3 linked regions of the Lepisosteus oculatus genome follow. The protein of the gene in region 3 interacts with the protein of the main gene of each other region in a pairwise test. Links are inferred from orthologs where the notes say so. Each region holds a gene or a part of one and is shown on either strand. Other genes may lie near its edges. The genes, in order: blvra, trim23 and lnx1.

Region 1 (10,478 bases), on a different chromosome or scaffold from region 3:
GTTCTACATCCTGTGGCAATTAAAACTTCTAAATTCATGTTTTTTGTATGTACATCTATGTTTTTTGTTTTTTGGCAGTGGAGCCTTCTTCAGGTGTAAGAAGGACAGGGCAGTAAGCAAAGGTAATATAGCATAGGAGAACAAAAGCTGGGAGAGAGGAGGGGCGAGAGGTGGGAGCGTGGGACAGACAAAGTGGCCAATCAGGTAGTATGATGTCACGATAGGTGAAGAGAGGTGTGAAATGAAACCTACAATGAAAAGAGAGAATTTAGAAGAAAATCAGTCTGTCATTGAGAGGAAAAAGGTGTGATCCTAACTGCAGGATACGTTTAGTTTCTGTAGTCTTTCTGATGTTTGAATTAGGAAAACCAGCTTTGAGAACACAAATGGAGAGATTAGTGTGATCATGGCCGTCAGAGGTGAAATGAGAAACAATGGGCTTGGAGAAATCTTTAATCTTTACAGCCCTGGCACGTTCTCTGAAGCAGTCTCCGAGTCTCCTTCCTGTTTACTGCAAGAAATACAGTAAATAAGGTTGCTGGAGGTACAAGATGTCATCCGAGTGATCTGGAATTGTTCTGAGAGGCCTTGAATGAGTGTGGTGTTAGATACATTCTTGCAGCTGATACAACGAGCTCTGTTGCAAGGGAAAGTGCCTGGTGTGGATGGTTGCTGAGGGCGGTCAAGGGAGCTGTGAACAAGAAGGTTACGCAGATTAGGTGGTTGACGATATGAGATGATGTTTCGGTCAGAAAAGAGAGCCCCAATGCAGGGATCATCCTGTAGGATGGAAAAATTGTCGTTAATAGCCCTGGGGATAGGAAGTGAGGGTGGTGGGGAAGCACCAAAGGAATGCGGTTGTTAAGGCGGAAATTCTTGATTGAGTTGATGGTCCAAGGGATGTTTTGGGCTCAGGCAAGGGCTCTGTCAATAACACTGCTAGGGTATCCTCTGTTGATGCTAAAAGAGTACATTTTGAGGGGTTGGTTCTGGAAATCGATGTCGCTGCAGAGTCGTCGTAGCCGAGGGAACTGTGAAAAGGGGAGAGAGTTTTTAGTGTGTTTGGGGTGAAATAAGCTATACAGGAGATAGTTGTGTGAATCAGTGGGTTTGTAATAGACTGAAGTAGAGAGTCAGGGATAGTTAATGGAGAAGTTGATGTCTAGAAACGGAAGAGTAGTGGAAGATATGTTAACTGTATATTTGAGTGACGGGTGGAAGTTGGTGAAGTTTTGTTTTTAACAGAAAAAAAAAACATTTCTGACAATTTGGTCTTTGGTCTTCATAGAGATGACTTAAGTTAATTGGGGTTTACCAATTCACCATTACAGAACTGTTACAAGAATTTGTATCTGTTTCTCAGTGCCCATCTACCTTAGGACATCTACCTTAAGAAGATTTTTGTTTTGTCTTTCCATGTGAATCCTTTTAAATATCGATTTCAGATTTTTACTGCAGTCTTCCCAGTAAGGTTCTGCTTCTCAGTGTAATGTGCTCAGTAAGTTTGCCAACAGGAGTAAGTTTGTTAAGGAGTAAACTTCTACGCTGTTGTGTGCTGGGGGTGCAGCATCATGGCAAGAGATGTAAGTAGACTCAATAAACTCATCAAGAAGGCTGGCTCTGTTTTGGGGCTGAGCCGTGACCCCCCTGGAGGTGGTGACAGAGAGAAGATTGCTGACCAAGCTCACAGCCATCATTAACAATGCATCTCATCCGCTACATGGGACTGTTATTAGACAGCGGAGCACTTTTAGTAACAGACTGCTCCAGCTACGGTGTTCAAGGGAACGTTTCCACAGGTCCTTCCTCCCGGCGGCTGTCAGGGTGTATAACACTGCCCTAGGCTAGGCTGTCTATGGACAGCATGTTGCACTAATGTAATTTTTGGACACTGCAGTAATATACTGTTTATACTGTGGTACTTTCAATCTGTATATACCTATGCACATTTTGCACAAAATCTATATTGTATTGCTTTACAATAAAATGGAGCGGTCACTATTATTATGTATCAGTGCTATGGTAGATATTTTCCAGTGAGCGGATATTACCTCTGTTTCAACAGACTTCAGGAAGAGTTTTCATTATGGTCTATGACTAACATTTGTTTCTTTGAGAATAATTGGTAGAATACTCTAGATATTTATCTTATCTGCTTCTAGTGTCTGTAATAATTTCCTGTGCTAATATTTATTAAAATAGAAATTTCTGTCATTGTCTGAGGCATGTTTTCTGTTCACATAGACGTACACAACGTGAAAAGCTTATCTGCAGAACTGAAGTAATGTTTTTCAAGGGAATGGACAGGGCCATTGTGGGTTGTGATTCACACAAGAGGAAAGGGGGACCCTGGATACAGTCCTACAACCTGACTCCCAGTCTCATAGTGGTGGCAGTTTCCCTTTCTAGCTCAGGCTGTGTGGATCTATATTATAACATTATGGAAGACATAGAAAAAGATTCTTTTAACAAACATTTTGAGAATTCCTTTTATCCTTTCAGAGGTATTGCATCCTGGCTGATATTTTTAAAGAAATAATAACATAGTAGAATGGTTGTGTGTTTTGTCAAATGAGCTTTATTTTATCTGTTATTGGGACTTGGTGAGGATTACTGTAGGTGGAAGGTCACATATGTCGAAATATGTTGAACCATAAAAACGTAGGTTGTGAGGCATGTGCTTACTTTTTCACCACATTGTATTCTGTTCACTGGCAGTGTGAGTCTCAGAGGCTCCTCATTCACAGACTGCTCTATGATTTTCTGATAGGCCCTGGCATATTCCATCCCTTCAGGAGTCTTTAAGAGTTCAGTATCCACAGTGTTCCAGGTGTGCTCTTTGTTTTGTATACCTTCATGTTAAGGATGCCGAAATGGTTCAGTATAGTTAACAACAATCTTCACATCCCAATCATCAGCTCCAGCTCATGAAATGCCATGAGTTCAGTTGCACTAGAATTTTGCTGGACTCTGCCTCTTTGTGGTGGGCAGGTTGCTTTGTGATGTAAGGATATGTGAGTCTTGTCACTATGGCAACTTTGGGTTTGCTTAATTCACTCTGGTGACATCACCCTGCATCCAGTACACTTGCATTCCATTATTTATATTTAAACAGAAAGCACGTCTCATATAACTTTATAAAACCTTCATCAACTTTAATTTCAGTGTAGTATTTAATGTGCCTGAATTCGTCACCACAACTCTGAGACTCAGCAAAAATGGGCACACATAGACACAAATATGCACACACTCACATTAGGGTTGAGCCAGTTAACTTACAGGACAGTACTAATACAGTATGTCTTTTAGGCTGTGGGAGAAAACTGGAGCACCAGCAAAAACCAACACAAACATAGGGAGAACATACAAGCTCCATGCCAATAGCAAACCAGGTCCAGAATTGAATACAGGGTCCCAGCTCTGTGAGCCAGCAGGTCTAACCACTGAGCCACTGTGCTGCCCCATCTGAACCATTTGAGTATAAATTATATCATTTAAAAAAAAATGAGGGTTCTTTCTAGAAACTTGTTTATTTTTCTTAGGAATGTTCAACTGTAATTTGAAAAACATTTTAGCACTAAATTACTTAAAATTAAAATTTTTACATTTTAAATTATATTATTAGAATTTTATGTTGGCATTATGACTGTTTTGTCTTAGAACAAAAATAAGATGGTATATAATAAGAGGTGATGGGTTGATTTTGCTTAACATTACAATTAGGTGTATGATCAGAGCAACGTTGTTCGTTAAAATTACTTAAATAGAATTGTTAAATCTGCACAAATAAGGTATTGGTGTGTCAATATTCAATTTTACAACTTAAAAAAATATTTTTCATATACCGTATGCCCTTTTAAACTAATTCCCTTTCATACTTTATTAGCAAATGTAGAAGTAGGATGCTGTTAATTATTGATCTGAATATACAGTACATATGAATTTAAATCTTAACTGTTACAACTGCTGGTGACATAAATATTTTAAATTTCTACAAAATGTAATGAAACAGATGAAAGCCAGAAGAGCCCTGATAAAGAGTGTTCTCAGTTCCTTTCTCTGTCCGGCCCAGCTTACTCCTGTGTAGGCTGTTCTCTTGCCTTCACACAGGTCAGTGAAGCTCCTCTGGCAGCCTGGATGCCTGACCAGGTGGGGTTTAGGTTCTCTGGCCTGAGAAAGAAACATAAAAGACAATATTTTAATGGCGCATGAATCTTCCTTTTATATCCTGTTTAACTGAGCATCTGTAAGATTGTAGGATGCACATAGGCCTTGTCACATGAGAGTGAGCAAAACCCATGTTTTCTGACTTTAGTTGATAGATACTACTGTATAAAGAATTGGAGGTGTTTTGTGTAAACGAGGTCCAGATCAAGGGCTACATTAATTCACTGATTATACAACTGGACTTTGGTGGTGTAAGAAGACACTGGTTGAATGTACGTCAGAAATGAAAACAATTGTGTGTAATAAGATCGTTTTGTGCATGTTAGGGGAATCTCTGTTTCTACTCACCCTCCTCTTTGTAGTTAGCTTTCCAAACAACTTGCAGAAGAGGCTCAGTAAACCTAACTGCTCAAGCAGGAAGACTGTGGGGCTGCACAGGTCCTTCAGTTTACTCAGTATCAAGGCGTCTCCTTCCAGTGGTGGGTCAGTTATGGGTGTTATTTTGTTCACTGGCAGTGTGTGTCTCAGAGGCTCCTCATTCACAGGCTGCTCTGTAATTTTCTGATGGGCCCTAGCATATTCCATCTCTTCAGCAAACATTGTCATCGTCCTTAGGAGCTCAGTATCCACAGCGCTCCAGGTGCGCTTTGTGTTGTGTACATGCACATACTGTAGCCTCCCATAGTAAGGATGCCAAAAAGGCTTATTATAGTTGCCGCAGTCTTCATCTTCCAGACTCCTTCCAGTCATCAGCTCCAGCTCATGGAATGACATGAGTTCAGTTGCACTAGAAATGATGGTGCGTTTCATCTCTATGGTAACTCTGAGTTTGTTGGATGCACTTTGATGACATAATCATGAATCTGGCCCATTTGTTAAAAAAAACCAATTATATTTATTTATTTTTACAGTATGGATATAATCATAATTCTTACAATTTTTGTTAATATCAAAATATTTTAATGTAAATGCAGAGTAATGGCATATCAGTACTCATGTGTTTAGTTTACATAGAGGTACACTTTTTGGACAGCTGGTTGGATAGAATATTCCTGTTCCACAGAACTGAACTAAAAATACACCCCCAGAAACGTTGATCTTGGGGGTGTATTTGACTCTTTCGTTTTAAAATACTTAAATGTGAGGTAATATTATTTATTATATTATTTATATGTTATTATTATTAAAATGAATAACCTGTTTCTCTTTTTGCATAAAGCATTATAAATGTAAAATATTGTGGTGTTATTTTTAGAATAATTCTAATAAACCTACCTCTCTGTCATTAACCGTTTTGCTCCTTCCTAATTCAGTCCCTTGTTTGTAATTATCTGTCCTCTCATGTTCTCAGTCGTTCTTATGATGTTTGCTTAGTCCTTCTTTCTATTCATTGTCCAGTGTCTTGTGCAGTTACAGTTTTGTGACAGAAGCCACGTACATGAGGACAGTTTAGTTTAGTGTACATATGATTGTAGTATTGTCAAAATATATGCATAAAGAGTATACAATTTGTAATGTTTTACGGTGTCACTTTTTTACACTTACGTAATTCTTTTGGAACTAACTCCTGTCTGTCTGTTACTCTGCAGGGAAATATGATTGGCACAGTGGTAGTGGGGATTGGAACTGCAGGCAGAGTGAGGATCAGGGACCTCCTTTCTCCTCTCCCATCCAGTCCATCAGAGAAGTTGAGCCTCAAAGGCTTCATATCCAGGTGAGCTGGTAGTTGAAACCTTCAACATCCTAAACGAAGGGTTCTGCATAAATATTGCAGGACAAATGTGATTATTTCCATTATCCATATCCATTGTCTTGAGAAAATCTCTTTCTTCTTGAGACAGCTACACAATGTGAAGAACTGAAGTAATGTGTTTCAAGGGAATGGACAGGGCCATTGTGGGTTGTGATTCACACTAGAGGAAAGGGGGACCCTGGATACAGTCCTACAACCTGACTCCCAATCTCATAGTGGTGGCTGTTGGGTCCTGTTTCCCTTTCTAGCTCAGGCTGTGTGGATCTATATTCTAACATTTTGGAAGACATAGAAAAGGATTCTTTTAAAGCCACTTCTAGTAGCTTCTAGTAGCTGCCATAGCTACATTTACTGTATTTGGAATAGGTTTTCTCACTATCATAATGGTGCTGGATGCCAGGCCTGAGAGCCAGGTATGAGCTTTACTGGCAGAATTATAGTATTGCAGGAAGGTTAGTTTTTGTCTTGTGCTGGAGGACTTCAGTTGTAAATTGATCTCAAGAGAAACTGAATGTCTGAAATTGCATGTGGTCATAACACCAGTAAGCAAAGAAGACTGAAGCTTCACCATTTAATCTACACAGTTTTCCAATGTGAGGTAGAACACTTTTTGCTGTTAGTAATTTTAGAAATGTATTTTTTTAATTAAACATTTTCAAAATGATTATAGTAAGTCTTGCTATAATGCATGTTTTCACAGTGCATATAAAGCAATACATTTATAACATATAACATAGTTTTTAAACTATTTTTACAACACAAGTGAGAGTTGTTTACAAGTTAATTAAACTTATATCGAATTAACAGAAACATGCCACTCACAAGTATTAAAATGGTTGTGTTGATACCGTTGCACAGCATGGTAAACTAATGTAAAATAACATTTCAGGAAATTTTCCTGAAGTTTAAAATGGTCTTGAATTAAAAGAATTTTCACTTTAAAACTCCCCCTCCTCCACTGCTGCGTCTCATATTGATTAACAACGAAGGCTGCTGGAAGAGGTGTTAGTGGGGCCAGCAGGGGGAGCTCACCCTGCGGTCCATGTGGGTCCTAATGCCCCAGTATAGTGACGGGGACACTGTACTTTTGGTGCCGTCCTTCAGATGAGATGTAAAACCGAGGTCCTGACTCTCTGTGGTCATTAAAAATCCCAGGGCGTTTCTCGAAAAGAGTAGGGGTGTAACCCCGGTGTCCTGGCCAAATTTCCCATTGGCCCTTACCAATCATGGCCTCCTAATAATCCCCATCTTTGAATTGGCTACGTTACTCTGCTCTCCTCCCCACTGATAGCTGATGTGTGGTGAGCGTTCTGGCGCACTATGGCTGCCGTCGCATCATCCAGGTGGATGCTGCGCATTGGTGGTGGTGGAGGGGAGTCCCCATTACCTGTAAAGCACTTTGAATGGAGTGTCCAGAAAAGCGCTATATAAGTGTAAGCAATTATTATTATTAATTATTATTATAATGTCTTGTGTGCTTTTTTCAGTTTTCATGGTTGTTATTCAATTAGTAAATGATAATCACAATGACTCCTAAGAACATTAATTGAAAATCATATAAAAGAATACCAATCATGTTGAGAGTTTTCTAGGCATATTTTGTATACTTGTATATTTAACAGTGCTAAACGTAAGGGTTAGGTCTACAGTAGGTCTTTGTTGCTCAGCTCTGCTCAAGTTAGAAAATTAGTTGATCATTCTTTACCCCTTTGTGTAACAATGGTATTCCCTCAGACAAAGTGCTATTGTCTTCCTCTAGGAGGACTTTGGAAAACCAGCAGGACATACAGCAGATATCTCTAGATGAAGCCCTGAGCCGAGAAGATATTCATGCTGCCATTATCTGTACGGAAAATGTGTCCCATGAGGAAAATATCAGGTGAGTTCTTTGTTCACACAGAAGTTTCTTTGCCTTATTACTTTCATTATAAATAGCAAGATAATGTCTTAATTCAGTATTTTATGAAGGTATTTTCATATTTTTAATTTGCTGTCTGTCATGACTATATATGCATGTACAGTAATTATGCTGTATGTAATGTATATTACATGTATAGTATACAGTATAGTGTTTACATACTGTATATAACTTAAGTCTTAGAATTCCTGAATGCAGCACAGTTATTTTTCTAAATTACCACTAGATGGTAGCCAAGAAACATTTTAAAATTCCTACAACAGCAATGACTGTGATCTTGTTCAGCCTAAACACAGCCTTTAATTCCTTGTTTGAACTGGATTAAAGATGAATAAGCCCTCCAGATGACGGTAGGATAAACCCTTATAAGAACTCTGTAACACAGATTGCTACTCAAGCAGAAACACTGTATTGACCAAACATTAAATTACTCCATGTATGAAATTAATGGTCATTTATTTTAAACATCATTAAGGATCAGGGCACATTTAGTTGTGCACTTTACATAATCCTTCAGTTATTATCTTTTTATTATCTTAAAACTAGTTTTAAGCTTTAGGTAGTTTTTAATTTCTGAGCTGATAAAAACACAAATGTAAATTGTTAGTTGAAATAGAGGAGCTTTATTCTGGACGTGGAATGATGACATTCCAGAAGGCATTAAGCTTTTGTTGAAGTGAGTGTGACACTGAAGGTGGAAGTGGGATTGTCAGACAGCTTGGAGGACCATGTAAGATCTGTGGTGTGTGAAACACTCATCGAGGATCAGTCTTTTCTTGCGTTTTTCACCAAGGAATATTTGTAACAGGACTGTTGGTAGCACTCAACAAAATTAACATTGGGACAGGCATCGGAAGTAAAAATTTGGATTTGACAGTAGCTGTGTGTTACTTTCACTGGCATCTTAGTGGCTGCAATTTTATTAATTTTAAATTATAAGTATGTCATGAAAGTGAGTACACTACTTCATCTTTTAATGGATTCTATTATACTTCAAGTAGAAATAAACCACAGGTGTTGTGGTATTTTATACATCTGGCACAATGCTGTAATTGTTAGTAAACATAATAAACCATAGTTCTTAATTAGATATTACTTCACTTCAGTTTTAATGAAACTTTCAGGATATTTTCAATATTTTGTTGTTGTTTTTTTGGTGGGAGTGTGAGAAGGGTTCACCAACTAGCTCTGTCAAGCACCAGAGCACCAGTCTCAAATTGGCCTAAAAAACATACTGTAAAATTTGGGTCTATTTCTGAGGTATGTCCCTTAAAAGTAAACGTGCAATGCCTTTTTTAAATCAACCAGGATTATTGCTGTTTTTTTCCCTTAAAGTACCAAACAAAGACAATTCCTAACATTTCAAAAAAGTCTTTATGTTTTCAGGATCAGGTGGTCAGAGCCACAAATGATCACTGTTCTGTTCCTTCTACATTTTCAGGAACTGCTGTGGTGCTGTATAACTTCGAACCAAAAAAATCAGTTCTTTTATTAGCATTAAAAAACAGAGAACTGCTTTTTTCTCTCCTTGTTAGAAACTGTGATAAGAGTGCTGGGATGGGATTGTAATGGAAATGTGTTGAAGTGATTTCTTGGCCACCTTTTCTTCCTTCCACCCACAGAAAGTTCCTTGAGGCTGGAAAGCATGTTTGTGTGGAGTATCCCATGACTTTATCTTTTGCCTCAGTGAAACAGCTCTGTGAGCTAGCTGATAAAAAAGGTGAGTTAGGTTTGGGGAAGGGCAAGATGCACTCATTGAGCAGGGCCAGGTGTTCACTTTCCTTTGTGTGGGGTTTCCATTCGGATGTCACAGTAGCTGTGTGTTACTTTCCCTGGCATCTCCGTGGCTGCATTTCTTCCTGTAATTTTACTTATTTCCTTCCTGTAATTGTATTTGCTTGCTGTGCGCACTACTTTTTCTAGATCAATGTCTTACAATGTTAATGGCAAAAGCTGTCATTTTTAGAGGTGAATTATTGCCATACTGTGTGTTCATTACCTTTTGGGGAAAAAAATGATATTTACAAATCAGACAAATCCGTTATTGTAATAATGGTATGTGAACAAAAAAAAAATGAAAATCTGTACACAGTAGACTTATGTCTTTCATCTTCTGGTGACGCTTGAAATCAGCAGGGAGGCAGGCCCAATTAAGACTTATTCTTGCAAGGTGCCCTAACCTCTCTCTGTCCTCTGTGTTGCACAGGGAAGATCTTGCATGAAGAGCACATTGAGCTGCTGACAGCAGAGTACAAGCAGCTGAAGAAAGATGTGACTGGGAAGAACCTAGTGGAGGGAACTCTGCACTTCACAGGTCTGTGAAGACACACACGTGACCCAAGTTTCTGGCTGTAGGATCAGCAGAGCATTGCCCTCATGGTGTATTTGAAGTGCTTCATCAAGTAGAGATAACAGAACTGGTGGGAAAATACTGTATGTGTGGGTGTTTTTTTTAATTGACCCCATTTGGTTTTCTGAAGTTGAGTCCTTCACTCATTGGTTCTTAAAACGAAGGGGTACACTACAGTACCAGGCCATATAACTACTTCTACATCAATGACTGTGACCCAAGTGATATAGATATTTGGCTATTTGTTTTATTGTGGACAAACATGGGTGGCCTTCAGATCCTGATTGTTT
Region 2 (10,478 bases), on a different chromosome or scaffold from region 3:
AAAGACAACTCATAAGTAATTTTATTGAAATGCCTCCAACCTTCCTCCTCACTCCTTCAGTACTGTGTGTACAGTGCAGTTTGTTCAGTCAGGGTTGCGTACCTGGCAGATCTCGGTCCTCACATGTCACCGGTGTGTTTGTGAAAAGCGTTGGTTTTGTCAATCGCATCACTGCAAGAGAACAGGCATTATCAGATTAACTTGCGAGTGATCTGTCACCTTTATTAATGGTGCTTCTCTGAAAGCCTGGTCTAGTATCACACCTAAGAGAATGGAATGCACATGGGAACAACTTTAGAACAATTAAGAGATGCAACTCTTCCAATTAATTTGCTTTATGTCTGTATTATTTTGACCACTGTACCATGAAATAATTTTGAATTATGCCAATGCACATTCTTTATGTTCTCTCTAATACTCTTAAGAGTTCACAGCTGTTTCTGTAGAGAGGAGACAAGTCTTTAATGACATGCCAAATGCAGCATGTCTCTGACCAACACAGTAATTTCAGTGTTTCACCACACACCCGTTTGGAGACCGGTGATGCCATAGTGAAATGTTCTGCTGTTTTTCCCTTTTGTTTTATTCAATATTAAGCTTAAGGTTGCAGACACTAGTGGACACAAATATCCAAATCTGTTTTTCCGGCTTAAGTGGAAGAGGCAACCTTGTACAAACTTCAGCTAAACTGTCTCTTTAATACAAAATTCTCTCACACACAATAATAAAACATGGTGAAGCTCTCACGTAGCTCTCTCTCTATATATATTCCTTCTTCTTGAAATATCAATTGTAATCACTGGCATTGAAATATTCAGTTCACAAAGATTCCCATTTTTTCCCCATTGTTTCATATTCAGAAAGTGCAAAAGACCCAACTCTGTCATGCTGCTTTTCAATTGTATGGAATTTCTCTTGATACATTTTTACTTTGTATTAATACAGGACATTGGGTGGCATTTAGAGATGAGTTTATTTTTTCAAGTCTAACAAAAAAATAATTACAATAAATAGGTGAAAAACATCTATTGTGTTAGAAATCAGTTCATAGTATTAAAAATTTTTCATTCATTTTCCATCAAGACTACATGCTAAAAATGGTTCCATGTTTATGAACTACTAAATTAATTTCACCGGTTAAGTTCAACTGTTGTTTCATAAACTTTCCGATATATTCACTATACAAAATATCACAGAAAACCCAAATCTGCCCCACATCTCGTTGAAAATTTGCGTTGCAAGAAGGAAGTTTGGAATGTCTCACTGCCCTGCTCAGGACAGTCCAAACCCATTCCATGTCTTTTCTGAGGCAGTTCGATTCCTCAATTATCCACTTGGCCCTCTGCAGTGAGTGGATCTGGAGGCCTTCCAATATTTCCTGGAGCTGTCTGGAGAAAGGCAGAACTTCCTGAAGTCTCCCAGGAAGAGAAACACTCCATGACCTTCTAAACCCTCCTCCTTCTTTCGAAACACTTGCTGCGGAGTTTGGCGAACCTGTGCGCAGAGACAGCGCCCTCTCCTTGCCCCTTTGAGCTCTCGCCCTCTTAAAACCCGTGCAGAACTCCAGCAGGTCTTCTGTGCAGTCATAGCTTTGAGAAGTCGCCAAAGGAGCTGAAGAGCTCAGCTGACACCTGATTTGTTCCACCTCCTCTGGCGAGATAACTGGTGGGCGCGTTGTGGGTTTCAGCGGTAGCTTGCTGGCATCATCTGGGAACCAGGGTACAAATCTTGGCAAAGGAGCACAGGGAAAATCTTCCAATGCCCTTTCGGCTATTTCCAACACATCATGTAGGTTACCTTGACGATTCTTGTAATGCAAGACTACATCCATACTATCACTAGCTCTTCCACGGAACGCAATTACCGAACTTGGTTTCGGTGTTTCTTTAACTGACGATCCTTATGGATTTCAAGGACACCAAGAAATCTGTCACATTGGTCGGTTTCCAGTTTCCAGTGCGGGGCAGCTGAGAATACCTGAAGCGGAATTATGGTGAAGGTGTGAAAAGATCAGGTAACAATCACAGTAAAGCAGCCGAAGCCTCCATCCTTGAGTCACCGCGAATGACCAGCTCCCTAACAACTTACGCATCAAATCATATATCCCGTTAACAGCTAACTGCGCATCACCTGCAAAAAAATGAAAAGTCATCCCTCTCGTCCTTTTTTTTATAATGAAGAATTTGTTCCACATATACTATGTCTGACCCATAGTATCATTAACGCAGAGGGCATATTTATTTTAGATTTGACTTAAAACAATGTTTGGCGTTTAGAAAAAAAAACTTCTCGGGACTTTGTACGACTCTAACCATGCGAGACACATTAGTCCATTAGACTTTCGGACAATACACATATATTTTCAGAGACATAAGACTTGACATCAAACAAGGCAAAATATTATAAACTCATACATGGTTGTTTTAAATAAAGGCAATTGTCTTGGCTATCTGTTTACGGACGGAAAACCGATTGCGGATTTATGTTGGGGCCGTAATAAAGTTCTAGTCAAATTAACCATAATAATTAAACTCACTCCTTGGACGCATAAAAATATAGATCATACAATTGTTTGTTTCAATGTCAATAAAAAAACCCGAAAATATTACCTTTTAAAGCCAGCAAATGCTCTTGTTTGGCCTGGTTGACATCCATCTTCCCTGTCTGCGTGAACCTGTGAACCTTCACCTGCATTGCAGAATAGTGTACGGAGAGCAAATAGGAACAAACAGTGCGGACGCGTTTCTTTTTCCTTTTTTTTTAATTGGGGTTTTAGTGTCTCCCGGCGGAGCTTCATTAACACGCACACAGGGTACTGGGGTTCACGACGTCAGCAAATTCTGTGCCCTTATGAAAAAGAGAACAAACTCTCATTTAATGTTAATATAGAAGCATGTAATTAGCAAAAATAATTGAAGGAATCGTTATCGCCTTTCATTTAGAGATAATGCACTGTTTCATGCATGGAATCAAGTTACACGTTTGGAAACAAAAAACTACAAAGGTATTAGCTTTTCATAACTTTTTTCCATGTTGTATACATACTGTATATTAATGACTTAACAGCTGTTTACCATGCTCATGGTGAATGCAAAGGGACCTTATCACCATAGACCGTATTAAAATTGACTGGCTAGATGGAGTTTGATATAGTTGAAGTGGTCTTGAAATTGGAATTTAACATTAGAACATCCAAGCTACAAAAAAGTGCAATATCATTATATAAGGATTACAATGGCTCATTGTACACATGGCAATTGAGAATGTAAAAGTGACGTTAAAGAGAGCAAATAAAATCATATAAGAAAATTCAAATTGTTTAATGGGAAAATGTATTCTGAATTCAAACGAAAAAAGTGTGTGCACCATAAAGTGTATATTTATTTTTTTCACTGTGACACTTTCACCCTTCTTTTGCATTATTACTGCATCAAAACTTACTTCTTAACACATTACTCGAAAATTGGCTCTTAAACATAAGGGAGAAATAAAATACAGTATTTTCCGGCTGAAAATAATTAAAATGCTTAAGAAAAAACACATAAACTCGACTAAAAAAATCTTAAAATTCTTTCAAAGTCAAAGATTCCGCCTTCAAAGCCTCCTCTTCTGCTACACAAAAACTTCCTTCACCGAACCTCTTCAACGCGCAATCGCACCTGCAGCTTTCTGGAAGCTGACGGAAACAGCTGACAGGAACGTCCATTTTGCTTATTCGGGGGAAGGTGGAAGTTTTAAATAGGAACTCGGTTGTTACTTTACACACATATGTCGAGGAGATTAAAAAGACTGCTTTTAGAACTATAATTTGAGTTTTTATTTTCCTATTACAGTGCATATAAGCATTTTTATCTCGATGCCATTCTGCCTACGTGCAATCGGACCCACCTAGGAGCGGCTGGGCTGGTGGTAGAGCCCGAGGATGGCTGCTGCTGTAGGTGTAAACAAGCAGGCATCTGCAGCGGCAATGGAGAGCTGTGTTCGACACGGCCGGGCGGCTGCAGGAGGCACGGTGAAGGTGAGTGAAGCCGATGCTCAAAACGGTCAGTGACCGAAAAAGAAAACCTATTGCGACGCCCGCAGAGAGGGGTGCATTGCCGGTGACCGTGGTTGACAGTGTTGGCGAGAGAGAGCGAGTTGGGCGGTCGCTGCTGTCGTGGCTCGGATGCTGTGTTGCTAATGTAGCTGCACCAGCTTCTTTGGTGCTGATGACAGCCTCTGAAAATGCGATGTTCCCATTGTCTTTTACGTAACCCTTTAACTCAGTTTGCACACTGCAGTTTAATTCAGAAAAATATATTAATCATGCGTTATTTGTTATGTAAGTGCAGTATGACCAAGATCTCATGACAAGGGACTTGCAATTTGTGTGGCACAGAAACGCCTGTGTTGCAAAGAGGAAAGCGTTCTTTGGCTTGCTTAGACTTGTAACTAAGTCTGGAAATTTCCAGCGGGTTTAGAGCAGGCTTGCTCGCCTGCGTTGGCGTACGCATCAAAGAAAAGGCTGTACTTGAATACAATTGCATGTTTCAAAATATAGACAAATTGCACTTCCTGTGCGCATGTAAATCATTGTTTTTGTTTGTGGTTATACTTAAGATCACATATTTGACCGAGACGTAGTCACTTAAAAATTGAGTTTTGTGTATCGCACACACTTCATTGGCCAGTTTTCTTATTACTTCAATATTGCATAAAAATGTTAATAACCCTGATTTTAAGTCTATGCGTGCAGATGGCTAAATTAATTGTTTTTATTTTTGGTAACTGCATCCATTATTTTGTGTCTCTAATGTTATTATCATTAATTCAGATGTCTGATATCAATTGTGCAGCTTTCTTTTTAGTAGCAACAGAAGAATCTTGCTTACCCACAAACAAGCAATATATCGATACCGACATTACATAAAAATAAATTTACAGTTATCTAGATCTAAAATAGGGAAAGTCTGACTGAATACTGTAATCTAGTAAAGTTGTAAAATTTGTGAATGAATGACCCAACCACACTGGGATGAAGTTAATTTTCATGGTCTAATTTTTTTATGTTTGCAGAAATTAAACCTGCTCCTTGAGCATGACCATGTAAAGATGCATTTGCATGGCGTTTCTGGCAGAAATAGCATAGAGACAAATACTTTGAGCAGTAAATAAGGAATTGCAAACATCTCCTTCAGAACTCGTTTTGCTCGCAATTTGATTAAATCCAAGTTGCTTTACTCTAACGGACTGTTCTCAAATATGCTAATGTTAATATATTTCGTCAGCTACAGTATAATAATACTGCTCATTCTTGTGCAATACATAAAATGAAAAGGGTTGTATTGAGCCATCAGTTTTTTGCCTAATGTTTTTGAATTTCCAGGTAGCATTAAACCTCAAAATGTCCCAGACTTGAATGCATGTAGAGAGTATCCCCGTGCTGGACATTTCCTCTGTGTTTGTCCCCTTGTCTCCTCTCTTTGCCTGCCTGTAAAAGCTTTCAAACATTTGCACAAGAATTCTGCTCAGTGAAAAAAAAACTGTTAAAAATAGTTTTTTCCCCCTCATCTAGTAATAAAATGCCTTTGTGAATTGATTTTGTGTTCAGTCATCTTTGCTCCTCCATAGGTGTATTACTGGAAACCTTCAATATATTACACTCATACAGTATGTTTCCCATTCTTGTACCTCACTATATTTCGTGACTTCTTTAAGACACCATTCTTTTACCCTCATTCTCTATGATAAGACACCAAATGTTTTAATAGGAGACTATTCTATTACTTTTCCGTGTAATTTAAACAGATGTAATGAACAGTTAAGAAACTGCATTTTAAGAGTTGGGGGTGAAAAGAACAAAAATTTAACATTCAGGTAAAATATTAAATAGTTTTAAAACTTAGTTTAAAGCCTCACTAAAATTAGAGTCAAATTCCTATTATGTATGATAAGACCGCTTCAATATGAGTATGGTGAACATCCTATAAAACAATTTGTACTTAGTGTAAAACAACGTGAGCTTCCAGCTTCTAAGGTCATTACACACCTCTATACTGTACCTCATGCTCCTGCACAGACCTGGTTAAGTTCGACAGCTGAAAAATTTGGGCTTTTGGATACTCCTAAAGCTTTGCTGGAGCTGAAGTCAGTCTCAATCTATGTAGAAGCAGAATTCTCCTGGCCTTGATGACATTCCATCTCGGCTAGTGCAGGCTGTGTTTGATCATGTTAGTCCAGTAATATTCAATTCTAGACATCTTTCATGGAAAAACTCTTATCTCATTTTCAGATATTATTTCTATTTTTCCTAATAAAGATAAAGGTCCACAAAACTGTTCAAGCAATAAGCCACATCACTTGCTGGATTCTGACTTTTTTTTTGGCAAAAAGATCTTTTTAAGTGAAAAAAGAGGCATGCATGTGTGGCTTTGTGGGAGGTTGGTCCCATGCCACTGATGCCCAGACTGCTCCTACTTGATGATAGTTCCTGCACATCAACATCTTGATTCTTTTCTGCAGCTATAAAATCTGCCTTCCAGGACTGAGTGGAGAGCAGCATTGCTTTTAAATCATAGAGAGTTTTGTTCATTTGTAGATATACTTCTTGAAAGTGTCCAAATAGCCATTATCCTTCTTGAAAATAATTAAATGACATTGCTGAGCTCCAAGAGCTCAAATCTTGGCCCAGACAAAGGCTTTTTATAATTTACACAATATATTCAATCTGCCCCTTTCTTTTTTCTTTTTTTTCTGTTTTTTTTTTTTAGTTTGGTAGTGAGATAATGCCCCTTTGTCCTTCTTCTTCGTGTTGGGACACGCATTTCTTTGTTTTATATTGAAGCAATGTTAAAACTTAATAACATTTTGTTCACAAGAAGTCCAAAATGTTTAAATTTCTTTGAAACCAATGCAAAGCTTTTTCGGTTACTTGTGGGGGCAGCAGTTCTGTACGTAATTATTGAGTATTTTTTTGCTTGTTCTCAACCCATCAATTTGCCATCATCCTTATTAAACAGCTGCCCTCTGCATTGTTTTTATCCTACTGTCCTGCAGAACAAATATGTAATCAGATGCACAGTTTGTTTTACAGAAGAACACATTAGATAGGTAAGTTGGATCGTTTAGGAATGAATACATGCAAATGAGTGAGGTAAATTGTAAAATTAAAATTCCAGGCTCTAGATACTTTTTTATTTTTCCATGTTCATAGAGATCTGTGGTATTTTCAGACCAAATGTGGTGTTTAAGCTGCAGTAAAAGTTTAGGGAGTTAAGCAGTTCAGTTTCAGGGGAACTTTAATGTCCTGCTCTGTCTCAAAGTTAGCTGGGATTATTGGGCCATGTGGCAACCTTAATTATAACATAAAAAACAGTGTGTATGGAAATGTTTTCACCTGTTGTAGGTAATCTCAGATATTATCAGCATATGGAAGCAAAATGCTCATAATAAGTTTGCAAAACTGAGTTATTGTGCACAACTTACACTTTTATTTATATTAAAAACAAACCCTGAAATTGGGCCTGAATTGCATGTTACTGTACAGTAGGTGTTTGTTCTGGTTTCAGGACCTTCCTGTAGTGTTTAGTGCTTTATACCGGATCAGCCAGTCTGTTCAGTGGTCAACCTCAAACAACCTTCAGTTTATAAATAGTTTATTGACATATTGTTCAGTAATTAATATCTCTGTCTAAAATCTATCTAACCTTCCATTTTCTAACCGCTTTATGCAGGACAGGGTCCCCGGGGGAGCCGAAACCTGTCTCGGCAAGCAACAGACCCAAGGCAGGGTACACCTTGATGGGACACCAGTCCATCACAGGACACACACACATTCCCGCTCACACCAGTTTTCCCAGAACCCAACCAACCAGTTTGTCTTTGTACTGTGGGAGGAAATCTAAGTGAACATGGGGATAACATACTGTCCATACTCTACTCAGATAGCACCCACCCTAGCAACTGAACCCAGGGCCCAAGTGCTTTGACCCAGTAATGCTGACCGTTGCACCACTGTGCCCCCCCTCGGACTCAGATGTTTGTAAAAAAAATCCCTGTACTGTTTTATGGGTCTGGCAGTCGGTTAACTTGGAGGATTTGATGCAGTCAGTCCTATAATGTTACGTTAGAATACATAGAAAACTAATAAAATATGAGCTCCAAAGAAATTAAAAAAAGAATGTTAGTAACTGCTCCAGGGAAGCACAGCAGTCACTAGTACAAGGTGCTGTACAGCTTCAGTACACTGTACTTCTAATAGTAATACTAACCTATTTGATATATATATAGAAAATTTTCTATTTCTGACAAATAATAGAAATAATACAATTATACACTTTCCTAGACCCTTTACTTAAAGGGCTTTACACCACCCCCAATGTGCAGCACCCACCTGGGTGATGCGACGGCAGCCATAGTGCGCCAGTATGCTTCCCACGCACCAGCTGTAAGCAGGGAGGAGAACGGAGTAGGAGGCCAATACGGGGCCTCCTACCCAGGACAGCAGGGTTAACACCCCTACTCTTTATGAGAAACACCCTGGGATTTTTAATGGCCGCAGAGTCAGAATCTCTTTTTTTTTTAAGTCTCATCTGAAGGACGGTGCCTTTTTTACACAATAGTGTCTCAATCGCTATACTGGGACATTAGGACCCACACAGTCTAGAGGGCGCCCCCTCCCCAACTGGCCACACTAACACCTCTTCCAGGAGCAACACTAGCTTTTCCCAGGAGGTCTCCCATCCAGGTAGGGTCACACCTGCTGAGCTTCAGTGGGTTGCAGGGTGATATAGCTGCTGACTGATCACCCTGATTGGCTAGTCGAGCTCCACTTGGCTTTTGTCTTTGGATTCAAAGGTATTCAGTGTGAGACTTAATTTCTGTGAATTACATTCAAATACATTGATTGCACTGTCCCAGCCTATGCCAGAGTGAATCTTAAATCGGAGCCTAGGTTTTGTTTCTCTGAGATGTCTGAGCTGATAGTTATTGTGTGCTGCCCAGGAGATCTGTGGCCGCAAGCTGCTGTTCAGCTGTTAAGCTCCCGGTATGTCGGTCTGGTTGCGTTGCCTGGGATATTGGCTGGATGTTGCTTTTCATGTGGATTGTTGTGTGCTTCCAGGTGCTGGAATGTGGAGTGTGCGAAGACGTTTTCTCCCTGCAAGGGGATAAAGTCCCCCGGCTGCTACTGTGTGGCCACACGGTTTGCCATGACTGCCTCACTCGCCTTCCCTTGCACGGCAGGGCCATCCGCTGCCCCTTCGACAGACAGGTCACCGAGCTGGGTGAGCTCTGGGCTGGGTAGTTTCCATGGAGATGACAAGGCCCTGACTTGGATATTGCTTCCTGTGGCTAAATTCGCATCAGCTGGGGCATATGACCGTCTAATTATAATTCACTAACTTAATAAACTGGAGTTTGTTTTTTGTGTTTTGGAGGACAAAAAAACAAACGGAGAAAAATGGAGAAAAAAAGCTGAATTGGTATTCATAGGGTCCCATGTTATAAAATTCTAAAATAAGAAGTATCTAGAATGCCATTTAAAATCCTTTATAGATTGGAAATTCTGTTACAGAAACAGTCATTATCATCGTGGTATTTTGGGTTTAAGACTGACTGCTAACATTTAATGAGATTGGAGTTTTCTTCTGTATCCTGGGTGATATATGTGAAGTTCTAGGGGTTTACATGCAGTGTAGTGGCACTGGTCTAAAACAACCTTGCATATGTCTAAATGAAGATGAACACAGAACTGATACAAGAAACATTTTTATTTTGCATGAGAAATAAAAACATAAAGAAGCTTCCACAATATACAGGTCGCAGAATCAATTTCTTGAATTTGTTTTGATAATTTGATTCTAACAATTGTGCAACATCCTAGGATGTGGACTTTCTGTGGTAATATGACAGTTTTGAATGTGTATGTTTGTTTAGGGGATTCTGGAGTCTGGGGACTGAAGAAGAACTTTGCTCTGCTTGAGCTCCTTGAGAGACTGCAGCATGGGGCCTCTAACCAGTCAGGCATGTCAGAAGACGCCTTAGGAGGAGCTGGGGAGGTAGAAGACAGTCTGTTCACTGGGCATTCTCAGTAGTGTTAAACTCCTGAGTGTGGCATTGTGGCTATCTCTCAGGCTTTATTTTGTGCCTTATGATCTGGTAACATTGAGTTTGTACAATGCACAATGCTCTAGGTACAGGTAGTGGACACAAAATGGAAACACCTGGGTAAACCCGAAAGACCAAGTATATTGAAGCTAGGGCTTCTACACTGGCTCATGCATTAATTAAGCAAATAACATCCTAGAATGCTTTAGTGTCCTGCATAAAAATGTTGGAGAGACCTGGTTACCTATAATTCTAGCTAGCATGGCAGCAAGAGGAGACCTCACTGACTTTCAAACAGGGGTGATTTGTACGGTGCATTTGGCAGGACCTACAGTGGCCAAGTGACTGAGAGAAAGACATAAGGAAAAGGAAACTTTGGGCAGGAGCTCATA
Region 3 (10,478 bases):
CAGGTTTAATTAATTTTGTGTTTTAAACACAGCATTGCTTTTTCTGTTGTTTTTTTTTTTTTTTTGAGTGTGCCTGGAATTAAATTTCACCAAATACTACAAGATTTCTTTCTTTTTTTATGTATTCAAGGATTTTTGATATTGCAAATCACTCAATTAAGGGGAATACATTGTGCAGAATTGATCTTGTAATAGACTCTCCTGCATGATCTCAGAACTCTCAGACTGAATGTGATCTTGGGGAATAGTTGCACAGCCTCATCTAGCTGCAAAGGGAGTTCCACAAGGTTTTGTTCTGGGTCCTGCTTTTTGCTTCATTTATATATTTACAATATTTTAATGAAATACAAAACCCCATCTCTAAGCCAGCAACACTGGACATAATTTAATAAATGACAAGTACAGACATTTTTTCCTTTCTCACAACAAATCTTATTATATCCTTTCCCTACACATAAACTAGTTTAAATGCTGGCCTCTAATTCTGTTTTTGAGAAAGCACTTGGTAACACTTTGGTGTCCTGTTATGTTATTTATACTTTATTGATTGTTCTTTTCTTTTACTGCTTTGTTTTCTGTAATGCTGTAGCCTCTGGCAGCCTCTGAGGCATGTTGTTATTGTAAATAAGGTTTGGTGGGTAAAATAAGGGATTAAATAATAAAAAAAATATATGCCATTAATTTCCAAAGGGAACAACACCGCAAGCTTGCAGATATTTGAACCATAAAGTCATAAGGCATATACTGTAAAATGTAGACTTAGAGCCTAGAATAAATCATAAATCACTCAAAGACTCATCCAGAATGAGTGACTGCCATGCTGGAAAGGAGGATAAACTATTGGGTTGTTTCATCACACCACAGTCACTTGCATCCTCTAATATGACACATGTCAGTGTAAATGAGACAAAAGATTCGTAGTCCTTAATTTTTCTTCAAGAACTCCCATTTTTTCTACTGTTAATCAAACAGCATACATACTAATCCATAACCTTCACAGGTCAACAGTTCCACAGAGAGAAAAAATACTGCTAAGGATTACCATAAAGTACAATTCTGTGACATAGCTCGTAACTCAATGGTGATTTTATTTGCACATAGAATTTAAAAAGAAAGTAGATATTCTCTTACTTTTCTATGGTATAGATAGATGTATTGCAAAGACCCATATTGGAGACCCACTATATATATGTAAATACACATACACTGTATGTCTGGAGCTGGGACTGGAAACATGTGTGGGGTTAATCCTTTGTAGTGCTGGCTTTTGCATTACGCAACGCACTTACACATTAAATGGAAGAGATCAGCAGTCCTGATCTCACACCCTAGCTTAATCTAAGGAGGAAATGTGACAGAGTGCTGGAAATTGGATGTAGAGGATGCTTTTGTAGGGATTGGTCCAACAAAGCCACCATGTTTTACAAGGGTTAATGTTCTGTGATTAGCAAAGCTGCAACAGAGTTGTATCCCGACAACTAATAATTTTATATACATATATCATAAATTCATACAAATACTGTACATCAAGATTCCCTTAGAGGGACTGTTGTCTGTTTATCCCAAAGATCATCGGTACAAAGGAATTGCATTTTAAAGAAGACTAATAGATTGCCCAGCTTTTGCGTGGAATCTGAATGATCGCATTGGAAGAAAGTTCACTACATGGCTCTGCCTCCCAGAAACATATATACATGTTAAAAGTGTATATTATTCATTATTATGCACTCATATACCTTTGTTTGTACTATTATGCCTTTGTACACCTTATTATACAAAGGTATGTAATACCTTTACAACCACTGTTTCACATTGTGGGAGCCAAGGAACTGACTGCCCAATGGCAAACAAAAACCAAGTGTTTCAAAGTCCAAAACTACTGCTTTCTCAGCAGCACGTGTCTTGGGGCGCATGTCAGCGTCTCTTCGAATGTGGTCATGGCCAAGAGGGGAGTGAAGAGGTGTATTTGAGGAGATGCAGAGTCAAAATAGTTAACAAACCCTTAGTTTCAAAGGAATAAGTAAAGGTTTATTCCTCGGTTTATTCCATTTTGGCTGTGGAGCCTTCTTCATTGCGCTTCTTTTCTTCTCTTCTCAGCAGGAATAAACCTTTGCTTGTTCCTTTACAGCCTGCGCCTGCTGACGCAGCTGCCCACCTGAACTGTTTCAACCCTTAGTTTCCTAGACATGACCAGTGAGACAGCCCTGGGCAGGAGTGTTACAGCAAGCGGAAGACGCCGTGGAGATGCGTGTCACAGAAAGACGAAGAGGAAGGCCAGGGGAGGGCCTATGAACGCGGCGCAGTGCCTGCAGCTGGCGGAGCGCAGGTGTGGGGCTGCACCCTCAGACCACGCAGTGAGAAGTGGAGTTACAGTGAAAAACAAAGGTGCCTTTGTGAAAGAGCAAGATCACTCCAATTGTGTCTGCGCTCCGCGGGGCTCTTGGGAAGACAGCCTGTGGATGAAGGGTTTGTTTCCAGCCTGGCAGTGACACCAGACATTGAGCAAACAGGCAGAGACAAGCCAGGTTACTGAACAAGAAGAGGAAAAGGTACAGGAAGTGATCTACTGGCCCTCAAAAGCCACCTGAGGTTTAATTGTGTAGAGAGTATTACAACACTCTTGTTTTGGACAGAGAGATGGTTAGGAGTGAACGAGTGTCAGCAGACCGCGATGACCAGTTATGGAGGGCTGACAGAAAGTCTAGAGCACATCAAGAGCTTGCATATGACAAAGAAAACACTGAGCTATTGTTTTGTTATAATCCCTTAATTAAAAGCATCATATTTTGAAAAGCACAATTACGTGTTTCTGTAGCTGGCCAGGGGTGCTGGGATTCAGTTTCCACTTGCAGCCTGGCAGGGTGTCAGCCCAGCACGGAGACGAGGCCAGAGGCAGCTGTGGCTTGACAACAGCAGAGACCCACTGCACTGCACTCGAGCTTTCGAAACACCATTAGTAATCAGAGTGTGTGACGATCCTGTAGATAAGTCCTCTGTCTCAAAAATATGATGACAGGTCAACACTTGACATTTTACATTTTCATTATCCATCTTCTTTATCTGAGAAAAACCAACACAAAGAAGGAAACAATCTACAAAGTTGTAATTTGACTTTTAAAGTGTGCTCAGCACGGACTAGAACCTAGAACCTATTGCTCTGGCTGAACACTGACTCCCAATACAGGCAGTATAATTGAAAGAAACCTACAAATGACTTTTTCTGTCATTCAAGCTGTGCCTGTGGCAGAGCTTTTAACTCGAGAGAAAAAGGAGAACTAATCGAAAGCTTGCTTTAAGAAATATTGTGCTGTCTAAAAACAATTCGATAGTGACCAAAATAAGGGATAAAATAAATAGAAACACAAATGTTAGTTGCGTGCATAAAAGGATGTAATATAATTAATTGGTACTACATACAATTGAAAACAAATAATCACCACATTTTTTAAAGAAGGCCCAGAAAATGCTTTAACTGGAATTCTAGTAAATGGATTCTAGTAGCTCTGTGACCTATGAGCCAGTGGCCACACACAAAAGCAGTGAATGAACAAAGAGCCCAGTGTTGCAGAACATCTGAAACCTGTATAAAACATTTCCCTACTAATACAAAAGAAAGAGCTTAAAGTAACTCGAGCCACACAGAACAGAGGAGCTTCAGGAATGCCCTGCATTGGATATTCAATTCAGTTGCACCTTAAAATACAGTGCTCAGACAAGGATCAGCCCACACCCCTAAAGGAGTAATTCTGTCACGGTCGTTATGATAGGTTGCTTTCATGTCATTCATAGGGCTGTTTCTGAGTGATAGAAACTTCCCAGTCACGTAACTGAAAAGTAACCCTGGTAGACTGATACAGGTTGTGCATGACAGAAAGTTTCAAGTCCTGCTGCTGTGAACAGTGCAACATCCCACGGACATACTGTATACTTGGAAGCCACATGAGGCTTGTTCATAGCAGACAAGGAAGATACCAGTTTATTTGCATTTTGACAAGGTCTCATCATCGGGTAATGGGGTTGCATTGGCTTAAGAATCCTATGTAATGATACAAGTGCCTTTGCCATTGCACTGATAGCTCGACCTATTCCTGCAGGGGTTAAGGTCACTATGACAACCTCTGTTTCTCTAACGTCTGCAGCAGCCTGGAGCTGACCTGCGCTGTCGGGCACACAGCCCCCCAGAGCCCTGCCAGGCTCCCTCTCTGCACCAGAAGGCTGCGCTCAATGAGCTTGTGAAACAAGAGTCCAGGTGTGAAAGACCCAAGACAGGTGCTACATTTGCTGTCTTAACACTTGGCTTTTTTAAATGGCAATAAACAGGGATTTTTTCAATTATTATTTAGTTGTTATTAAAATTATTTTTACTGAACTACAACCAACCTACAAGCAGCATTCAGAAAGCCTCCTGAGGAATTGTTTCTTATTAAACATTGGCCTATCAAAGTCTTTCTAAAGTCATTAAATAAATATTTATATCAACTACAGACACCTAGATGAGAGACAGTCACACCAATATGGATTTTAAAACACTTTTTAATTCCAACTAAATTCCAACTAAAGTCCCACTCAATAGCAAAGGTTTTTCAATACAAAAAGCGCTGTGGAGGATATAAAATGCAAGATGGAAGAAAGGACAGGAAGAAGGTTAATCTAGATGAAATACAGCCCAGACAGTTAAGAATTTCAGTGAGTGAATAAAATCTAAAACACAAGTAAGAAATTAATCTAAAAACTATTTGGCTTTATTTGTCCTGGACAGAAAGGAAATAATTTAGAAAAGGTAGAAAGCAAAAACAATTCTGTATATTATATAAAGCATCTAATCCACCTATACCTGCACACACTCCCACAAATGCCCACTGTCCTTGAGTTTAAGTTTTCATTATGTATAAAGCATATTTAATTTCCTCGGCCCAGAAGACGCTAACAGCAGGTGAGCTGTGTCGCAGTCAGTGCATGTACAGTTACACAACTGCATAGCTCTACTTTAATCTGCAACAAATTGCAATGCACTTACCTTTAAAAGTTGTACCCAGACAAATTCAACCGCAACAGATTTGCCTCTCTGCTAATCCTTTAAACTCATTTTTTAGCTAAAAGGAGCATGGGCACACATTTTCTCCTGGTCGCAACTGCACACACAAGGAGAAGCAGTCATGCAGATTAGTCCTTGAAACTGAAACAAGTGTAGCAGAACGTCAGAGGGTTACAGCACGACCGCTGTCATTCCCACAGACTTGACCCCAGTGTAACCGAATCAGAATCTCGCACAACACGAGAACTACATATTTGTAGCCACGATCATGACAAGCTCCTGTAGGCCCGCATGACCCCAGGCAGTCAGAAAATGAATTCTGGACTTGGTGCAATGACTAAAATGGCCTTGTTAAGGCCTGTTTGTGTGTTTTTGTATCCGTTTTAATGGCAGATTTCAGGCTTAGTTGCCCTGTTTGGAATTCAGCTGTGGGACCTACTCGGATTCTGCTTTGAAAGGGGACTTCCCCAGCCATTAGTCATTGAAGAGTGACGTTAATTGTCTTATTGGCAGGTAGTGGGCTAATAATTCACACTATCAAGGATTCTGCGAACTTGCAAGATAATGAGCCAGGTCCTGGAGAGCCTTCTGAGCAGCTCAACGAGTGGCATGTGAGGGCATGCTAAATAAGTTGCCCTGGGAATTTCTTCTCTGAGCTGTTCTTTTTTATCTCTAATTGCATTTATTATTCTTTGGACAAAATTCAGGCTGGAACTGAATTTCTTGTGTTCAGCTAAAAGACAAAATATCTCACTTCCTCAAAGTTACAGTTTCTCTTATCAAACCTGGATTCACTACACTTTGGGGTAAAACAAGGTTTCCCGAAGCAGGGCAGAATCCAGGCAGTAACCATTAAACAGAGTATGTACACTTTCTAGGGTGTTGGCCAAACTGGAGTAGTAGAATTGCATTAATATCGTATGCAAACATGATACGGTACAATATGTACATGCTACGACTGTGCTGTTAGATTCTAGGGAAACCTGACTGCTTGAACCCCTTGATTCAGTTTTGCTGGAAAAGGGGAAAATCTGTTGAGTTGCAGTTACATCCAAAAATGATAGACTGCTGGAGAACTGCAATTTTTTAAACCTTTTTTACTTTGTTAATTTTATCGGGTGTTTTTTCTTTTCTGGAAGGCAGGAAGGGTTTTGTCTACTGCCCCCCTTCATAACCAGGCCACTGAATTCATTCAGCGTTTCAGTTTGGAAAGTAGCAAGTTACAACTTGTGCTAATTCACGTGCTAATGATGTTGTTGTGAAAGTCTGGAACAATCTGCCCAGCTGTACTGTTAAAGTTGATACCTGACTTCTTTCTGGAAACATCTGGATGAGATGCATGGATGGCTTATCTACTAACTACCAAGTGAGCGAGATGGGCCAGACGCTAGAATTCTGCTGGAGAATGCTGCTGCAACAGAGGTGGAGTTGGTGTCCACCAACCCTTTCCTTTATAATGGATCTCATTCACGAAATACAAAAGCTACAACACTGAGAAAGATACAAACTGCAGCTGCACTCCTCCCTGCTCGTTGTGGTCCTGAGGACCCATGTATGAAGTATAAAAAGTGTTTGCGATCGCACCACAATGATCTAAGGGGGTTTCAATGAGCTTTCAAGGGCTTCACAACTGTGTTGACGAGTGTCCTGAATATTTCATCTGTCTGTGCATTTAGAGACACTTTCATGTAGAAGGTGATATATGGATTTAAGGCATTATTGCTGCTGTTGCCTTACCCATGTTTAACGCTTCTATCTATCAACCACTGACAGTAAATCTTTGCAAGGGGTCCTTCATGAAGAATCAACAATCGCACATACAGTAGTCTCTGTACTGTATTCATGTATTCTGAGGTCAGAATACATGGATAGAATAAAGATACAAATAAAATGCAATTAAGTTCTTATGCTTCTGTGATATATTTCAGCAATGTCTCTTTTAAATAAAAGCTGTTTTAACATAACAGAAAAACAAAAACAAATTGCTTTGGCATATTTGGGATTGGAAATAAAGTTGAATTACGATTCATGGTTTGTATAAAGATGCATTAAATTAGTTTTTACACCTTCAGGTGATAGTTTGTGATCTCTTTCCGATTTACATTATTAGATAGGAAGAACAAAAGGGAAAACACCTTTTCCCACTGTGTAATTGTTGGGGTTTGTTGGCCTTTTTGTCTTGAAATATTGTATGTGGGGAAAAATTACTCCTTCACTAAAACAGGGGTCTAGTTTCTTCCACGATTTGTATTCACGGCTCGTGTCAAAGAGGGTTTTTCAGGACAGCCATCAAGAAATACAATTTGTAGTTGAATCTGTAGGATAAGATCACACACAGTACACCAGTAATAAATTGAATCTGTTGGATAAGATCACACACAGCACGCCGGTAATAGAAATGCTTTCTTCAATTATGCTGAAAGTGATATATACGATAACATCCTCACCTTCAGATACCAGTGCATTATGTAATAAATAATGACAAAAATAAACATCATATACTTTTTTAACCTTTTTAAATTTGAAGTATGCAGTAGTTTACTCTAATTGTATGGTGGGGAATCAGAAAGTGGAATCCTTGTTGTGAGTAGTAGAAAATAAAATAAACGTATTGTGATCATACTGTATATACAGTATTTACCATTATATATTCTGTTTGTGTCCTATACAGCTCTTCTCTTGCAGTTTCTGTGTGCAGAGACACGTAATGTGGAAGCTGTATTGTACCAAGCAGTAATTGGAAACAGATGTAAAATGTGTAATAGTGTCCTCAAGGTAGGACTATGAACTCCATGTGAAATTTGAAAATCATCTCACATTCCTTTTGTGAATAGCCTTGCCTTCTCTTTACATATAATGTCAGGTTGCTATGGAAGCATCCTTGAAACTGGTTTGCACGATAAAGATTTTTTAAAATTAATTTCCTTAAATTATAATAGTTTGAGTGCACATAAATTATAGATTGGGTTATGTCGTCTTCCAGCCTGATCTTGTCAGTTCTCAGAAGTTGAGAAAGGCTGGGCTTGCTAAGCTGGGCTGCTGCCTTAAGTGGTGTTTGGTGGAACAGTAGGTAGCTCTCTTCCCTTTGGGATACAATTTCCAAATCAATGACCCAGTGTAGTATAGGAGGTCCAGATGAGAAGAGATTGTTCAGAAGAGATATTAAACTGATGTCCTGACTACATGGATATTAAAGCTGTTTCCAATAGAGGGATATTAATCTTGGTGTCCTGGCTGAATACCACTCTGGCCTCCCTAAAGTCCCCCCTTAATTCATCTGGGAAAGCAGTTTCTCACCCATGTGGTTTGTTCTGTACTTCAAGGTATTCTCAAGGATGAAGTAGGTCCTCTTCAGTTTTGAAGCACTTTTTATTTAACCACATTACATGTTCATGAGGACCGCTAAAAACCCAAGAGAGTTAGTGAACTATTTAACATAATCTTGAACAGAATGAGGAAATGTTTGTTCAATTTTTATTGTTGCTTTTGTGAGACTCAAACTATGTGCAAGAGCAGTTGCTATTCCTATGAAAATGTTTTCATTGTATTATAGAAATTGTCACTTTTTTATTAATTTGGTTTAGCCTTTCTCAATATTCAGCTGCTGCAATGTTATATTCAGCTGTTGGAATTTAGAGCTTGAACTGTCATCGTGATCTGACACAGAGGAAAAGGCAACTTTTCAGGTCAGACTCAGGTCAAAGGAACATTACTAAAGTAGAAAGTGATTAGTTTTATATTTGTCTTAGTCCTTCACCTAGTTTGTGTAGCCTTAAAAAAGAGAAAATGACACATACATTTTTTATAGAATTCTGAGTTTTCCTTAATACTAATTTCACCCTGATTGTTGGTCAGTTTGTATAATGGATATTAAAATGTCAAAAACTGCTAAGTCTGTGTTTAATGTATTTATACATTATGTATAAAGTAATGAGAAGAACTATCTCTGCATAATATAAGAACTACATCCCCAGCCTGTTGTTGGGAACGCGCTTTCCTTCACTGCCTGAGAAAACATTACAACACACGACTGTGTGAAGGCTGAGAGAAAGATCTGGCGTGACTGCCTGGGCCACAGCACTAACCCACCAAGCCCAGAGGACGAAGTGAAGTTACGCCAGTAAGCTGTAAACTGTGGCCTGTGCCACATTGGGAATTTCACCCACAAAGGAAAGAGTAACTGAGTATCTTTATTACAAACAAGTGAACTATATGTGAGTTATACAGTTCATGAACATGAATTCATTGACCTCTTCTGAAATGTTTGTCCTTTTAAACTATTCCTTTACAATTAATGTAATACAGTACATTGTCAGGGTGCTTTGCAGAACACACTTTCACAGGTACAGTAAGTGAGACAATCCAGGTATAGTTACTCTTATTTAAGTTACAGAAACTGTGAATCTGATTGATTGATAGATACAGTAGGCGTCATATTGGAACCGACTGAATTTCATACTTTGAAACCTCCTCCTTGAAGGTAGAAGTTTTAAAAAGGAGCTGCCAGGATGAAAGGGGCTCTCAGCTTTCCTTTTGACACAGCTGTCACTCACAGAGGCAGCAGAGGGAAGATCCTGTCCGATGATCTTGGATGCTTTGTGTACGACTGTCTAGCTGTTTGCTCTGTGGGCAGCTGTATTGCTGGACTGTACTGTTATTGAGAAGGTCCCCACGCTCTCAATCAGTTTCCTAGATGTGACATATTGCTTCCTGATTAGCTCTGAGCTTCCTCAACCGCTGCAGGGAGCACAACCTCTGATGGGTTTTCAACTGTCATGGAGGGGAGAGCAGCGTAACTATTCATCATCGAAAAGACATACTAATCAGTTAGTGAAAATGAGTGCAATTGCAAGGAAAAAAGTACAACTGTATGCGGTTTCATGAAATTTATAAATTATTGACCTTGTCACTTTTAAACTGACATCTTTTTAACCCATCCTGCTGTTCCAAATGGACCAACATCAGTGCTATCTGGAGCTCAGTCACATTATTTGCTTAGCCAGAGGCTTCAGTCACACATTTCCTTTGAAGCCGAGGCCTAACCATATCCCTAACACTGCAAGTACTGTGAATGTTTTTTACTTAACACAAGGCTGTAGAAGAATAAAAATTCAAATTCAAGTTTATAATTATATTTCTTTGATTTACTTAAACAGGCTATTACACATTACTTGTATAATATAAAACAGGTTTTTAGCAGCATACATGTTTGACTTCTTCCAAACAGCAGCACATTAATTTAACAACTGACTGCTTACTAAGGTAAATGAGCTGCACTGAAATGAGACATCTGTTCTTATTTACGCAGATCACAGTTATGAGTGGAAATGAGGATTATATATAGTTTTCACACTTCACCTTGCATGTTCACTATGGTGCACAGCTGTATTTCCAGTGGCGATACTGCAGGACACTTCAAGCCAGAAGTGCTGATGGCAGTTAT

Evidence for each region.
Region 1: the proteins of lnx1 (region 3) and blvra interact in a two-hybrid assay, tested with the Homo sapiens proteins (3 studies listed by BioGRID and IntAct). The link is inferred for Lepisosteus oculatus from reciprocal best matches to the Homo sapiens genes LNX1 and BLVRA.
Region 2: the proteins of lnx1 (region 3) and trim23 interact in binary tests that used the Homo sapiens proteins (3 or more experiments, as listed by UniProt). The link is inferred for Lepisosteus oculatus from reciprocal best matches to the Homo sapiens genes LNX1 and TRIM23.

Annotation. Positions count from the first base shown.
Region 1 is NC_090701.1:24,142,090-24,152,567, forward strand, and holds the start of blvra (biliverdin reductase A), read left to right. Parts: upstream 1-4,122; 5' UTR 4,123-4,137; coding exon 4,138-4,149; exon of another isoform or gene 4,150-4,170; intron 4,171-4,515; exon of another isoform or gene 4,516-5,030; intron 5,031-5,442; exon of another isoform or gene 5,443-5,756; coding exon 5,757-5,881; exon of another isoform or gene 5,882-5,924; intron 5,925-7,679; coding exon 7,680-7,799; intron 7,800-9,460; coding exon 9,461-9,558; intron 9,559-10,044; coding exon 10,045-10,152; intron 10,153-10,478. UniProt on the Homo sapiens protein: Reduces the gamma-methene bridge of the open tetrapyrrole, biliverdin IXalpha, to bilirubin with the concomitant oxidation of a NADH or NADPH cofactor. Does not reduce bilirubin IXbeta.
Region 2 is NC_090698.1:27,871,846-27,882,323, reverse strand, and holds the start of trim23 (E3 ubiquitin-protein ligase TRIM23), read left to right. Parts: upstream 1-3,733; 5' UTR 3,734-3,922; coding exon 3,923-4,018; intron 4,019-9,100; coding exon 9,101-9,263; intron 9,264-9,915; coding exon 9,916-10,037; intron 10,038-10,478. Other genes in the region: trappc13 (trafficking protein particle complex subunit 13), read right to left, coding at 103-171, 2,610-2,694.
Region 3 is NC_090696.1:78,407,129-78,417,606, forward strand, and holds the start of lnx1 (E3 ubiquitin-protein ligase LNX), read right to left. Parts: upstream 5,133-10,478; 5' UTR 5,018-5,132; intron 1-5,017.